2 linked regions of the Anolis sagrei genome follow. The protein of the gene in region 1 purifies or fractionates together with the protein of each later gene. This does not show direct contact. Links are inferred from orthologs where the notes say so. Each region holds a gene or a part of one and is shown on either strand. Other genes may lie near its edges.

Region 1 (7,067 bases):
AAGTAAACTGTTTGACTCAAGCCGGAATGCTTCTCAGCCTCAGGCAAATAATCAGACCTCACAACCTCTGAGGATGCCTGCCATAGATGAAGATGAAACGTCAGGAGAGAAGGCTTCTAGAACATGGCCATGTTGTTGTTAGATGTTAGGTGATCCCTCGTTGGCCGAGTAGGATAGTCTTCCAGGATCAGTTTTCTGGTGGATCTGTAAGTGACTATGGAGCCGTACTCTTGATCTGCATCTTCTCCCGCAGAGAGGGCATTGGTTTCCAGGTGGAAGGCGGTGTCGGTCGGGGTTGGCTTGATGCGCCTTCCTCTTAGCATGTTTCTCTCTTTTGCCCTCCATTCGTGCCTCTTCAGATTCTACAGCACTGCTGATCACAGCTGACCTCGAGCTGGAGCACTCAAGGGCCAGGGTTTCCCAGTTCTCAGAGTCTATGCCAGAATTTTTAAGGTTGGCTTTGAGCCCATCTTTAAATCTCTTTTCCTGTCCTCCAACATTTCATTTGATATTCTTGAGTTTGGAGTAGAGCAACTGCTTTGAGAGACAATGGTCGGGCATCCAGACAACATGGCCGGTCCAGTGGAGCTGATGGCAGAGGACCATCACTTCAATGCTGGTGGTCTTTGCTTCTTCCAGCACGCTGACATTTGTCCGCCTGTCTTCCCAAGAAATTTGCAGGATTTTCTGGAGGCAGCGCTGAACATGGCCATACAGCCCGAAAAGCCTACAACAACCCAATATAACAAAAGATAACAATAGCTCTCAACTACCCAACTGCAGCCTCCCCAATAGGCATCTTTGCTAAATAGCCAAGACTACAGAGATCAGCTTCCATTGTTCTCACAATCCCATCATCCCCACCCTGGACCCCTGCTGGCATGGAATGCTAGCACTTCCTACAGACTCCTCTCTGTCCATACTACTTTCCCTATCTGGCTGGGAGGGGATTTCCAGCCACATCAACAGAGCTCGGCCAACCAGAAACAGAAGAGGGATGGTTCAAACTGGAATAATGAACATTGTGTATAAAAACTGTTGTGCAGAGCACATGCTCTCTTATGCTTGTAATTTTTTGGAGCAGGAGTTTACAAGCATCATCTTGGCCAAGATTAAATAAATGCCTCTGTCCTATGTCTTAGCTTCACTTTTGTTATTATGGTTGTCACAACTCACCAGGCCTTTCCCTCTCATTTTACTCCAGTCTAAATTCCATATCTGTCCATTCTCAACAAGTTGTGATAATTTCATTCAAATGCATTTTAAAAAAACCCAGAAACAAACTAGGTTTTTATTCGAAACTGGCTTCTTCATATTTCCATGAAGAAAATATTCCCTGGGTGGTAAGAAAAAAACACATACAAAAATATGACAGAATACTGAAGCACCCTTCAAACTGTAACAAAAAAAGGGGGTTAAGACTGCTGTCTTTGTGGCACTTTTCCATCTCAAAACTGTCCCAGGTTATGGCATGAGCCCTATTAGTCTGTGTATTTAACCAAATAAATTAACAAACTCCAATCCCCTGACAGTGGGTTAAACAGAGCCAGCATCACACTGCATCCCAGTAACTTCTTCCATCTTCCTAGGGTTATCCACTCATCTTGTATTTATGCAACACCTCTCTCCTATATCTGTCTCTCAATGACACGGACAAACTTCGTCCCTCCAGGTGTTTTGGACTTCAACTTCCACAACTCCTAACAGCTGGAGAGCTAAAGTTTGTCCATGCTTGCTCAATGACCATCTACTGCTAATACATAACTTGCCACTTATCATCACCATACCCACCACCTTTGCATTTCTATGGCAAGTCACATACACAGAGTCTGAGGAAGCAGATGGACTGTTTTCCCACTGCATAATTATAGTCGTCTGACAGCTAGGCCCAGTGCTTGGGATTTAGGAGTTTTAAGTTTGTTTCCCAGGGAGGCTAGAATGGAAGCAAGCTAAACACTTTATATTCAAGTAGGTATGAGCCGGGGGTGTTGTGTGGCGTTTAATAGGTATTTGATAGGTATTTTGAACAGTTTTTAATTTTTTTTAAAAAAAAATAGATTTAACCACAGTCAGTCCTCGAGCTGCAAACATGCAACTTACAAATGACTCCTAGTTAAGAACAGGGGTGAGCCAACAAGAAGTGAGAGAAATCTTTCCCTTGGAAGGGAAATTAACTTCTGAAAGAGTCATCATGTGAAAAAAGGTGTCTCCAGTGATGCTTTATCAGCAATCTTATTTCCAGAAGTCAATTTTTTTTCAAAATCCAATTATCATAGGGACAGAAAGTGAGGTGAAATCCTCTGAACGGGGCCACTGACAGCAAAACAAACACCATGGCGGTGTAAACCCTTTCCTATGCTATCCAAAGCTAAATAATTTATAGAGAGAGAGGGGAGGGGGGGGGGGAGAGAGCTGGAGTTACACTTTTAAAATGTACCTGTTCCAGCTAACAAACAAATTCAGCTTAAGAACAAACCTACAGAACCTATCTTGGTAACAACTTGGGGACTGCCTGTATATTTCTGTTCTAGTGTTTATATAGTTTAGGTTCTGATTTGTATATTGAATTTTTAGAATGGTTTGCTGCATTGAGTCTCTTTTTAAGAGTAAAGATGGGATCTACATATACTGATAATATAATTCTGCAGTGCAGCTGCTACCATTTTTCTCTCTTATTTAGCCCCAAATATGCCACAAGACCCCTTTTAATTCACATGTAACCAGAATATCAAGGGAGATAATCCACAATAGCCGTTTTGAACTGGGTTATCTGAATCCACACTGTCATATAATCCAGTTCAATGAGGAATTTATACACCTGTGTATTTATTTATCATGTCAGTAGCAACCAGACAATTGGATTACATTTTAAACAAATTTTTAACAAACAGACAAAACAGAGTTTGCAAGCTTGGTAGTTGATTAAATGTCCTTTGACCAGTATCTGGCCACTTGGGAGTGCCTCTGGTGTTGCTACAAGAAGGTCCTCCATTGTGCATGTGGCAGGGCTCAGGTTGCATTGCAGCAGGTGGTCAATGGTTTGCTCTTCTCCACACTCGCATGTTGTGGATTCCACTTTGTAGCCCCATTTCTTAAGGTTGGCTCTGCATCTCGTGGTGCCAGAGCGGTCTGTTCAGCGCCTTCCAAGTCGCCCAGTCTTCTGTGTGCCCAGAGGGGAGTCTCTCATTTGGTATCATTGAGGCTCTGGGTTTGAGCCTGCCAGTTTTGGACTCTCACTTGCTGAGGTGTTCCAGCGAGTGTCTCTGTAGATCTTAGAAAACTATTTCTTGATTTAAGTCGGGGTGATTTGAATGCAATATTCCTGCTTCTTGGCAGGGGATTGGACTGGATGGCCCATGAGGTCTCTTCCAACTCTTTGATTCTATGATTCTACGTGCTGGCTGATACCCAAACAAGGGATGAGCTGGAGATGTCTCTGCCTTGGTCCTTTCACTATTGGCTGCTACTTCCCACCTGCGTAGAAGGAGCCTGATACTCATCTAAAATGGCTACAATTAACTGTGGAGTATAAAATCCACATTAAACTGGGTTATGTGGCAGTGTGGACTCAGGGCCCTTCCACACAGCCTTATATCCCAGAATATCAAGGCAGAGAACCCCACATTGAGTGTGGAGTCTGATAACCCAGTTCAAAGCAGATATTGTGGGTTTTTCTGCCTTGGTATTCTGGGTTATATGGTTGTGTGGGAATACTATAAGAGCTGCAGTTTTACAAGGCCTTTAGCCTTCTCTGCCAAAGCAACCCTTTTAGAGTTACTTCATAGCAGTTGAAAGTAGTGTCAAACTGCATTAATTCTCCAGTATAAAGGCGCCTTATTTCTGTGAACGCGATCCCACAAAATAAGGGGTCTTATGATGGACTCGGAAGGGAAGCCCCGCTTACTCCTGCGCTGTATAAAAGCTGAAGCTGCGGCGTCCCTCTCGGTTTCCCCGCCTTCCCCTTGCCGTTCCAGTGCGCCTGCGCAAAGGGCTCTCGCGCGGCCACTCCTCCCATCTCCCCCTCCCAACTCCCTCCTTCCGCCCCCGAAAGCGGAAGTGGACGTCGAGAGAACAAGCGCGCGCCGCCCCCCCCCCTCCATCTCGCTGGCTGCGCTTCTTCGAGCTCCACAAAATGGCGAAGATCGCCAAGACGCACGAAGGTAAGAGAAAAAGAGGGTGGTTTCCGTTTGCGGCTTAAAACCCCGGCCGCTTAGGCCTCGAAGTCTGAAGGCGCTGTTTTTCCCTCTCGAAGGGCGGCGCTCCTTGGCTCCAGGAAGCTGAAGGGAAAGGGCGCCTGAGCGGGCCAGGCCTTCGCGTAATGGCGTCGTCGCTGAGGTGTCTCAAGGCCTCGCCGCTCCTTCCCCCTCCGCTCCAACTATTTCGCGTGAACCCGAGTGGCCGGGAGGGCAGCGCAGAGGAGCGGGGTTGAGGAAATCGAGGCCCGCGTGTTCTTCAAGCCAGGCCTCGAGGAAGCAGTCGTGGCCTCTTCCTCCCTTGCGCACGCAAAATTGTGAACATATGGGAAGGGGAACATCCTTTTCTACGTTTTCTTCCTGGGAGGCAGCCTTTGTGCCTCCTTGTGGGTCGTTCTTTAATTTAAAAATAGGCCTGTTAAAATGCAGGTTGGAGGAGGAAGGCTCATCGTAGAATTAACTCCGTTTGACTCCACTTTCAACAGGAGGCCCTTCCACACAGTGCTATATCCCAGAATATCTAGCAGAAAATCCCACATTATCAGAATGTGGACTCAAATAACCCTGATCAAAGTAGATATTGTGGGATTTTCTGCCTTGATATTCTGGGCCATATGGTTGTGTGGAAGGACACTGAGATATCTGGCCCCTTCCACACAGCTGCATAAAATCCACTTTGAACTGGATTATATGGCAATGTAGACTCAATTAACCCAGTTCAAAGCAAATATTGTGGGATTTTCTGCCTTGATATTCTGGGCCATATGGTTGTGTGGAAGGACCCTGAGATATCTGGCCCCTTCCACACAGCTGCATAAAATCCACTTTGAACTGGATTATATGGCAATGTAGACTCAAATAACCCAGTTCAAAGCAAATATTGTGGGATTTTCTGCCTTGATATTCTGGGCCATATGGTTGTTTGGAAGGACCCTAAAATGTCTGCCCCCTTCCACACAGCTGCATAAAATCCACATTGAACTGGATTATATGGCAGTGTAGACTCAATCCAGTTCAAAGCAGATATTGTGGGATTTTCTGCCTTCATATTCTGAGCTATATGGCAATGTGGAAGTGCCCTGAGTCCACACTGCCTCATATTCCAGTTCAAAGCAGATAATGTGGGGGTTTAGGCGTCTGTGTGGAAGAGACTTGCCATGTCTCAATGCACTGGGATCCCAGGAGTTGTAATGTTACAAATCCTCCTGGCAAAGAGTGCTCGTGCCTCGCCAAAACACAACCCCCAGAATTCCATAGCATTTAGCCGCAGCAGTTAAAGTCACGTCAAACAGCTTTCATTCTAGACTGTAGAAGGGCCCACAGTGTTCTGAGGCCCCTTCCACACATGTGCATAATATCCACATTGAATAATAATAATAATAATAATAATAATCTTTATTTATACCCCGCCACCATCTCCCCAAGGGAACTCAGGGTGGATAACATGAGGCCAAGCCCGACAATTATAATAAAGCAAAGAAAATACAAACAGCAAAACTAATAACATCAAATAAAATAAAATGCAAAATAAAATAATACAGTAGGGTAAACACAGGATATGAAATAAAATAAACACAATGGGCTGGGCCAGATGAAAGGGATAGAATTATAAAACCCTGGGTGAGATAGGTAAATAGAGTAGTGTATCTGGTCGGAGATTCAGATGGGACAACGATGGGGTTTAATTCTCACTAGGGGATGTGATAAAGCGCATCAAAAGGACAAATTTGTACTGGGACGGTCATGGTATGGGGATTTGTTATTCATTCTTCAAAATCACGTCGAACAGCCATGTTTTCACATTTAACTGGATTATATGGGAGTGTGGACTCAGATAACACAGTTCGAAGCAGATATTGGAGGTGATTTGTTGTAATGATTGTGTGGAAGGGTCCTGAGCTGTCTCTCTGCAAGCTTTAAGGAGGATTTGCTTGTGGAATCCATGACCTAAATTCAGTTATTAGTCCCAACTGGAAAGTGAGTCACTGCTCCCCAAGCGGCCATCTGTGTTAGGGCCCATCCACACAGCCATATAGCACAGAATATAAAGGCAGATAATCCAGAATGGATTATCTGAGTCCACACTGCCTTATAATCCATTTCAATGTGGATTTTATACAGTTGTTTGGAAGGGGCCATAGGATTATCTGCTTTGATATTCTGGATTATATGAGTCTATACTGCCACATAATTCAGTTCAAAGCAGATAATTTGGATTTTATATAGTAGTGTAGAAGGGGCCTTTATGTAAGCGCCACCAAATCATTGAGTCAATTCCGATTTTGGCCCATGATTTTTCCATTGATACAAATGAGGAAATGACTAATCCATTTATATAGATGGGGAAATAATTACTCCATTTAGGTTGCTGTGAGTTTTTCAGGCTGTATGGTCATGTTCCAGTACCATTCTCTCAATTTTTCCTGCTTCTATGGCAGAGATCCTCAGAGGTATTGATATAAATGGGGAAATAACTACTCCCATAAGGAACATGCTACCCCTCCAATTTCATGTAATTGTTTGCATTCATATTGTAATTATTGTCTGTCAAGAAGTGCCTATCCATTTCAATATCTATGTGTTCACAAAATATGAGTAAGTTTGGGTTTGTTTTTCAGTTTAGACACTGTGTTTTGAGCAGTATGTTTTGAACTCAGAACACATTGAGAATTCATCTGTTGATGAGCATTAAACAACAAATGTAATTCGAGAATTACAGTAAAAATTAGCAATTTTTTTCCTGTGGCTGACTGATTAGTATGAGTTTGAATGAGCAGTATAGTACACAAATATTCAAGATTGAATATTCTTGTTAAAATAAAGCATTGGATTCTACCTTTCATGCAGGAAGAATATTATATGCTATGCAGGAAA
Region 2 (7,730 bases), on another chromosome or scaffold:
AGGTCATGGGAGACCTTGACATAAAGGGCTGGACCAAATGGCATTTGAGGGTCCCTTCCAACCCTAGGAGTATATGATCTAGCTTCTCGACCTTTCTCATGCTGTGACCCCTTAATACAATTCTGCATGTTGTGGTGACCTCCAACCGTAAAATTATTTTCCTTCCTACTTCATAACTGTCATTTTGCTACTGTTATCAATCGTAATGTATATATCTGATATGCAGGATGTGTTTTTCATTCACTGGACCAAATTTGGCACAAATACCCAATACGCCCAAATTTGAATACGAGTTGGGGGAGGGGTGACTTGATTCTCTCATTTGGGAGTTGTAGTTGCTGGGATTTGTAGTTCACCTGGAATCAAAGAGTATTCTGAACTCTACCAATGATGGAATTGAACCACACTTGGCACACAGAACTCCCATGGGCAACAGAAAATACTGGAAGGGTTTGGTGGGCATTGACTTTGAGTTTTGGAGTTGTAGTTCACCTTCATTTAGAAAGCACTGTGCACTCAAACAATGATGGATCTGGACCAAACTTGGCACGAATACTCCATATGCCCAAATGTGAACACTGGTGGAGTTTGGGGAAAATAGTCCTTGACATTTTGGGAGTTGTAGTTGCTGGGATTTGTAGTTCACCTACAATCAAAGAGCATTCTGAACCCCACCAACGACAGAATTGGGCCAAACTTCCCACATAAACCCCCATGACCAACAGAAAATACTGTGTTTTCCGGTGATCTTCGTGACCCCTCTGACACTCCCTTGTGACCCCTCCAGGGGTCCTGACCCCCAGGTTGAGAACTGTTGCTACTAAGAGATTGCAACGTACTTTATCTAAGTTGTTGTAAGGATCAGTGTTGTTTGTGCTATAACTTTAAGTTGCTGTAAGGTTCAAGGCTGTTTGTGCTACAGCTGTTTCAGTTAATTGAAGAGTTAATTGAGTGTTATTTTCATGTGTATAAAGATAGCTACTGTGTGTTTAGTTCTTTGCCATTGTGCGTTTATGCTATTGTGCATCTATGCCTCTGTGCCGTTCTGCTTTGTGTAAGCCGGGGACTATGCTGCAGATGTCCTGCGAAGACACAGCCATGAGAAGAGGACAAGGATTCCTGTTTATCTCAGCTGAGTAATGATATCTCTCAGAAGATATTGTTTCATGTTACTTTTGTGGAAACAGTAATCCTGCTATTTTGTTTTTGTATGCTGCCAATACTACAATATTTTTCTTTTCTACTTTAAGCCGAAGTCTCGTGTGTTTTTCTTTTATGAGTAATTTCATCACACACACAGTTAACTGGGCTAGAGTCAGTCTGCATGCTACTCAGGAGAACAAACCCTATGAGGAGCGGCTTAAAGAGCTGGGCATGTTTAGCCTGAAGAAGAGAAGGCTGAGAGGAGACATGATAGCCATGTATAAATGCGTGAGAGGAAGTCACAGAGAGGAGGGAGGGAGCTTGTTTTCTGATGTCCTGGAGACTAGGCTGCAATGGAGCAATGGCTTCAAACAATACAATGTACAATAAAGGAGATTCCGCCTGAACACGAGGAAGAACTTCCTGACTGTGAGAGCTGTTCAGCAGTGGAACTCTCTGCCCTGGTGTTGTGGAGGCTCCTTCTTTGGAGGCTTTAAAACAGAGGCTGGTGGGCATCTGCCAGGGGTGCTTTGAATGCAATATTCCTGCTTCTTGGCAGAGTGGGGTTGGCAGAATGGGGTTGGACTGGATGGCCCATGAGGTCTCTTCCAACTCTTTGATTCTATGATTCATGCTAACGCATGACAAGAACCACTGAGCTAGAGGCTGAATGTCCTTCTGTTGGCAGGACTTGGATTGCACTGTCCCTTGACATAAGGGCTGGACTGGATAGTCTTTGGGGACCCCTTTCAACTGTGGGAGTCTCTGAATCGAAGAATGGACAGCCATCTGTTGATAGGGCTTGAATTATACTATCCTTTGCCATGAAGGGCTGGGCAGGATGGCCTTTGAGGGTCCCTTCCAGCTCTAGGAGTATATGATCTAGCTAGAGGCTGGATATCCCTCTGTTGGCAGGACTTGGATTGCACTGTCCCTTGACATAAAGGGCTGGACTGGATGGCCTTTGGGGGCCCCTTTCCACTGTGGGAGTCTCTGAATCGAAGAATGGACAGCCATCTGCTGATAGGGCTTGAATTATACTATCCTTTGCCATGAAGGGCTGGGCAGGATGGCCTTTGAGGGCCTCTTCCAACTCTGATTCTGAAGTTGGGTGGCCATCTGTTGGTAGGGGTTGAATTGTGCAGTCCAGACTTGACATAATGGGGGGGGGGGCGGGGGCTCCTCACCTGGGGTCCTCGAACTCGACGAAGGCGAAGGGCGGCCCCCCGCGGCGGTTCTTGAGGTCGATGTCCCGGATGGCGCCGTACTTGTAGAAGACGTCCTCGATGTCCTTGGTGCGGATGTCCGGCGGCAGGTTGCCCACGTAGATGCGGCAGTCGTTGTTCCCGGCCGGGCCGCGGATCACGCCGCCGCCTGACATGGCGAGGTCGGCAATGGCTGCGGTTGGCGGGGGCCGAGGCTCGTGGAGAAAGGGAAGGCCGGCGAGAAGGGCCCCGCAGCGGGGAGAGGAAGGGAGGGAGCGAGCGAGGGAAAGAAAGAAAGGAAAGAAAGAGGGAGAGAGGGGAAGCAAGAACGGGGCCTGAGAAAGCGAAGGAGGGATGCAGGCAGGCGCCGGGCCCAGTCGACTGGGAGGGATCCGCCTCGGACGCGCCTTCCCTCAGAGCGACACAAAATGGCGGCTCTACCTGCCTCGCGCAAGGATCCTCTCAGTCTCGCGCGCGCGCGCCGTGACGTCACTCTCTCACGCTTTCTCCTCAGATGCCTCCGCCTTTCCAATTGCGCATGCGCAAGAGAAAAAAGAAGTCCCTCCGCTTGCAAACGTTTTCCTTACGCTCCCCTTTCGATTACTCGCCACTCGAGGCCGAGGCCTAGGAAAGACGCGCGCAGCGATTCTCCTCTATTTTCCCCCTTGTTCGGCTTGGAAGAAGATCCGGCTCAAGGGGAGAAGCGCCGCCTTCCCACCATGCAACGCGCGCCAGAGCGCCTTCGCGCCAAAGCCAAGCACGAGGCCCACAATGCACAGCGAAGCACGCTTAGTCGGCTATTGTGGTGCCTGACGGAAAAATCCTACCAGAGAGACTCCCTGAAAGGAAAATTCAAACATGGCCCCGTATTTTTTGAAAGAGAGAGCAGACAAGGAGATTTAAATGTAGTTTAAAAAGAGAAAGACGAGCGAGCAGGGCCGTAGCCAGAAAAATTTTTCGGGAGGGGTTGAAATTTGGGGGGGGGGGGGAGGGGTTGAAACCTGCCTTCTATTTATGTTATTTATTCATTTACAGCTTTTATATTCCGCCTTTCTCACCCCGCAGGGGACTCAGGGCGGATTACAGTGTACACATATATGGCAAACATTCAATGTCAATTTTGACATACAAACATATACAGACATACACAGAGGCTATTTAACTTTTTCTGGCCGCCAGGGGAGATGTCGCTTTCATCGTCCATCTGCGACGCTGAGGAAGCACTTCCACATTCCCCGCACACTTCCCCGCTGGAGGAGCCCCCGGTGGCTCAGTCGGTTAAAGCACTGAGCTGCTGAGCTTGTTGATCGAAAGGTCGCAGGTTCAATTCCGGGGAGCGGCGTGAGCTTCCGCTGTCAGCCCTAGCTTCTGCCAACCTAGCAGTTCGAAAACATGGAAATGTGAGTAGATCAATAGGTACCGCTCCGGCGGGAAGGTAACGGCGGTCATGCTGGCCACATGACCTTGGAGTGTCTACGGACAACGCTGGCTCTTCGGCTTAGAAATGGAGATGAGCACCACACTCCAGAGTCAGACATGACTGGGCTTAATGTCAGGGGACTACCTTTACCTTTATCTTCCCCGCTGGAATGCTTTGCCAGAGTCTTCTTTATTTAGCCTCCCCACACTTTAAGGTGGTACCTAATTTTCCTACTTGACAGATGCAACTGTCTTTCGGGTTGCAAAGGTCGACAACAGGCTACACACAATTGGTTGGAAACCCACTCCAACCCGGGCTGGCTTCGAACTCATGACCTTTTGGTCAGAGTGATCTTAATGCAGCTGACACTCAGCCAGCTGCGCCACAATCCCCGCAAAGAGCACAGCAGGGGGCAGAGCAGTCTTCCATAGCCTGCAGCTCCGCCCCTGTCAACCACCTCCACCAAGTCTGGCCTCCTTAATGAGAGCATTCAACAACCTCCCCCCCCCCCAACTTGGATGCTTCGCTACATCGGCTATTGCTGCAAGTAATGACAGTGTGAATAAATTGTCAATATTTACCTGAGATAGTGCTTGCAGTTCTGGAGGGACTCTGAATTTTTTGCATCTCATAGACTTAGCAGGGGGATTTGGTTAACCAGTTAAAATTCATGAGTAAACCAGGTTTTTTTAAAAAAAATCTGAAACATTTCAGGGGGGGGTTGAACCCCCAACCCCCCCCCCCCCCCTCGCTACAGGCCTGTGAGCGAGCGCCTCTGGGTTTCCTTTGGGGCTCCAGGGTGATCCCTTTGCCTTGGCCGCCCAGTGGACACATCGGGAAGTGCAGCCCCCTCTTCATTCACCCGCCACGGCCCTTTGCTGCCATCGTGTGGCCATGGCCGAAAACTGCACCGCTTTCTATTCTCTTTTCCCCCAAAGGCGTTCTTTGCCTGGATCCCTTTGGGGATGGAGGAAAGGGGAAAACAGAAAGGGAAGAAGGAGGGAAAAGGAAGATCACGTCGATACCAGGCAAGATTCTGGAAAAAAATGTTAAGGAATAGGTCTGCAAACACTTAGAAACAAATGCAGTCATTGCTAATAGTCAACACGGATTTATTAAAAACTAGCTTGGTGTTATTTGAGAAAGGAATTGTGTCTCAAGGTTGGTCTTTATCAGTTATTTATATGGCTCGCAGTGATCTTAGGAAGTTAGTGAAGGTACTGCGAATCCCATCATCTGTGGTCCATCCTCCTCCAAATTGCACCAGAATGGAGAGTGGGTCGTGGGGGCTCTGTGTGCCAAGTTTTGTTCTTGATCAATCATTGGATTGTGAAAGGACCAAGGCAGAGACATCTCCAGCTCATCCCTTGTTTGGGTATCAGCCAGCACGTCAACGACTCAAATCAAAAAATAGTTTTCTTAGATCTACAGAGATACTCGCTGGTACACCTCAGCAAGCAAGAGTTCAAAAGTGGCAGGCTCAAACCCAGCACCTCATTCTGTGGGGGATACCAGGTGAGAGACTCCCCCCTGGGCACACAGAAGACTGGGCGACTTGGAAGGCGCTGAACAGACTGCGCTCTGGCACCACGAGATGCAGAGCCAATCTTAAGAAATGGTTAATGAGTTTAGGTACTGCAAGTCACATCCTCCTCCAAAGTCTGTTCTCCCCCAAACCTCATCAGAATGTTCAGTTGGCCAAAGTTTGCCAAGTTCTTTCTTGGTATTTGGATAAGTGTTGCTGTGGTTTCAGGAAGTGAGTGAAGGTACTGGAAGTCCCATCATCCATCGTCCATCCTCCTCCAAACAGTGGAGTGGGTCATGGCAGCTCTGTGTGCCAAGTTCGGTCTTGATCAGACATTAGATGACGGTTGCAGCAGTCTTGGGAAGGGAGTGGAGGTAATTGAAGTCCCATCATCCATGGTCTGTCCTCGAAAGTGCACCAGGATGTAGAGTGGGTCATGGGGACTCTGTGTGCCAAGTTTGATCTTGATCAGTCATTGGATGAGGGTGGCTGTGGTTTCAGTAAGTGAGTGAAGGTACTGCAAGTCCCATCATCCAAAAACCATCCTCCTTCAAACTGCAGCAGGATGTAGAGTGGGTCATGGGGGCTCTGTGTGCTAAGTTTGGTCTTGATTGGTCATTAGATGAGTTTTGCAGCAGTCTTGGGGAGTGGAGGTACTTGAAATCCCATCATCATCCATGGTCTGTCCTCCTCAAAAGTGCACCAGTATGTAGAGTGGGTCATGGGGACTCTGTGTGCCAAGTTTGGTCTTGATCAGCCATTGGCGAGGGTCTCAGTGGTCTCAGAAAGTGAGTGAAGTGACTGCAAGTCCCATCATCCATTGCCAAATTCTTCCAAACCACACCAGGATGTAGAGTGGGTCATGCGGGCTCTCTGTGTGAATTGTGGTCCCGATCCATCATTGTAGGCAGTTGTAATGGTCTTAGGAAGGGAGTGCAGGTATTGCAAGTCCCATCATCCATGGTGCATTCTTCTCCAAACTGCACCAGGACGTAGAGTGCATCATGGAGACTCAGTGTGCCAAGTCTGGTCTTTATCGGTAATTGGATGAGGGTTGCAGTGGTCTCAAAAATTGAGCAAAGGTACTGCAAGTCCAATAATCCATGGTCTATCCCCGGCCAAACCACACCAGGACGTAAAATGGGTCATGAGAGGTCTATGTGCCAAGTTTGGTCCTGATCAGTCATTGGATGAGGTTAACAGCGGTCTCAGAATGTGAGTGATGGTACTGCAAGTCCCATCATCCATGGTTCATCCTCCTCCAAACTGCAGTAGGATGTAGAGTGGGTCATGGGGGCTTTGTGTGCCAAGTTTGGTCTGTATTGGTAATTTTCTGACCCAGCCCCTGGCCTTTTCCTTTCCTCTCTTTGTCATCTCGGAATCTTGGAATTGAGGCTGGCCAATCAGAGACAATATGCAAATTTCCTTCTCTCATGTCTCCGTTTCTGTCATGAACCCTTTTCTCCACCAGGGGCTCCTCTTGAATCTGGCCAATCAAAAAACCATATGCAAATAGCACCACAGTGGCAGCCAATCAGAACGCTGGCACATACCCTGTCGCACCGCCACACTTCCGCCGCATACAAACTTTAACTTTTAAGTGGGTATATTTACTATAACATAATTTCTATATTTTCATATTTTCTCCCTGTGTGTCTGACCTTTTCCTGACCCTTTTGCCCCATTCCCCTTTTGGAAAAAAATGTATTAAAATGTAGGGAAGCCGCTCTGCCCCTGGAAAGGAAAGGAATTACCAGCTGAAAGAACCCTTTGCATGGACAATAACAAAGGCTCGTGACCTCTGGCCTCGGAGGTTTTGGCCACCAGAGGAAACGGCCACTTGGCAAGTATTGATTATATCACAATGGGACAGAGGGGAGCCTTCGGAAAGCTGCATCTCTTCCTGATCTGCCACCTATTCAATCTCTCTCACTAAAACATCCACCTAAGTTTCCACTATTGTTCCTCTGTCTTGACATAGAAGAAAATCCGGATTATGGCGGTATTGCCATATATCAATGTTTATTGCAGCCATTCAGAACAATAGTCTGGCTAGCTTGTAGGCCTTTAAGACTCGCCAGCCCCTTGGACATTTCCTGAATTTTCATAATCCACTCAAAAATGCATTGTATTCCCTTGTCCTGTCTCCCTCCCTCCTGATTCATTGAAGCGCCAAGGCGGCGGAAGCCCTCTGATTGGCCCAGGTGCACAGCAGAAACCTTGTGATTGGCCCAGGCGCTCGAGAGGTGACTGAGCCTCCTCCCAGCTGTTGAAGTGCTGGCCAATCACCTTCAAGCCGGGCGGAGGGCGGGGAGCGGGAGATTCAAACTGGACAAGTCTCTATAAAAATGGCTATAAAAATGGCTTTTATTTGTACTCATGTATGCTTAGCTTGGCGAAATCTTGCTGCTTTGCATCCTTTTCAGCTGAATCGCAA

What was found. The genes of interacting proteins can lie anywhere in the genome.
Region 2: the proteins of SF3B1 (region 1) and SRSF1 fractionate together in Homo sapiens (co-fractionation; 3 studies listed by BioGRID and IntAct, with this or other methods). This does not show direct contact. The link is inferred for Anolis sagrei from reciprocal best matches to the Homo sapiens genes SF3B1 and SRSF1.

The regions. Positions count from the first base shown.
Region 1 is NC_090021.1:178,747,737-178,754,803, forward strand, and holds the start of SF3B1 (splicing factor 3B subunit 1), read left to right. Parts: upstream 1-4,047; 5' UTR 4,048-4,132; coding exon 4,133-4,160; intron 4,161-7,067. UniProt on the Homo sapiens protein: Component of the 17S U2 SnRNP complex of the spliceosome, a large ribonucleoprotein complex that removes introns from transcribed pre-mRNAs.
Region 2 is NC_090031.1:19,484,943-19,492,672, reverse strand, and holds the start of SRSF1 (serine/arginine-rich splicing factor 1), read right to left. Parts: upstream 3,025-7,730; 5' UTR 2,525-3,024; coding exon 2,331-2,524; intron 1-2,330. UniProt on the Homo sapiens protein: Plays a role in preventing exon skipping, ensuring the accuracy of splicing and regulating alternative splicing.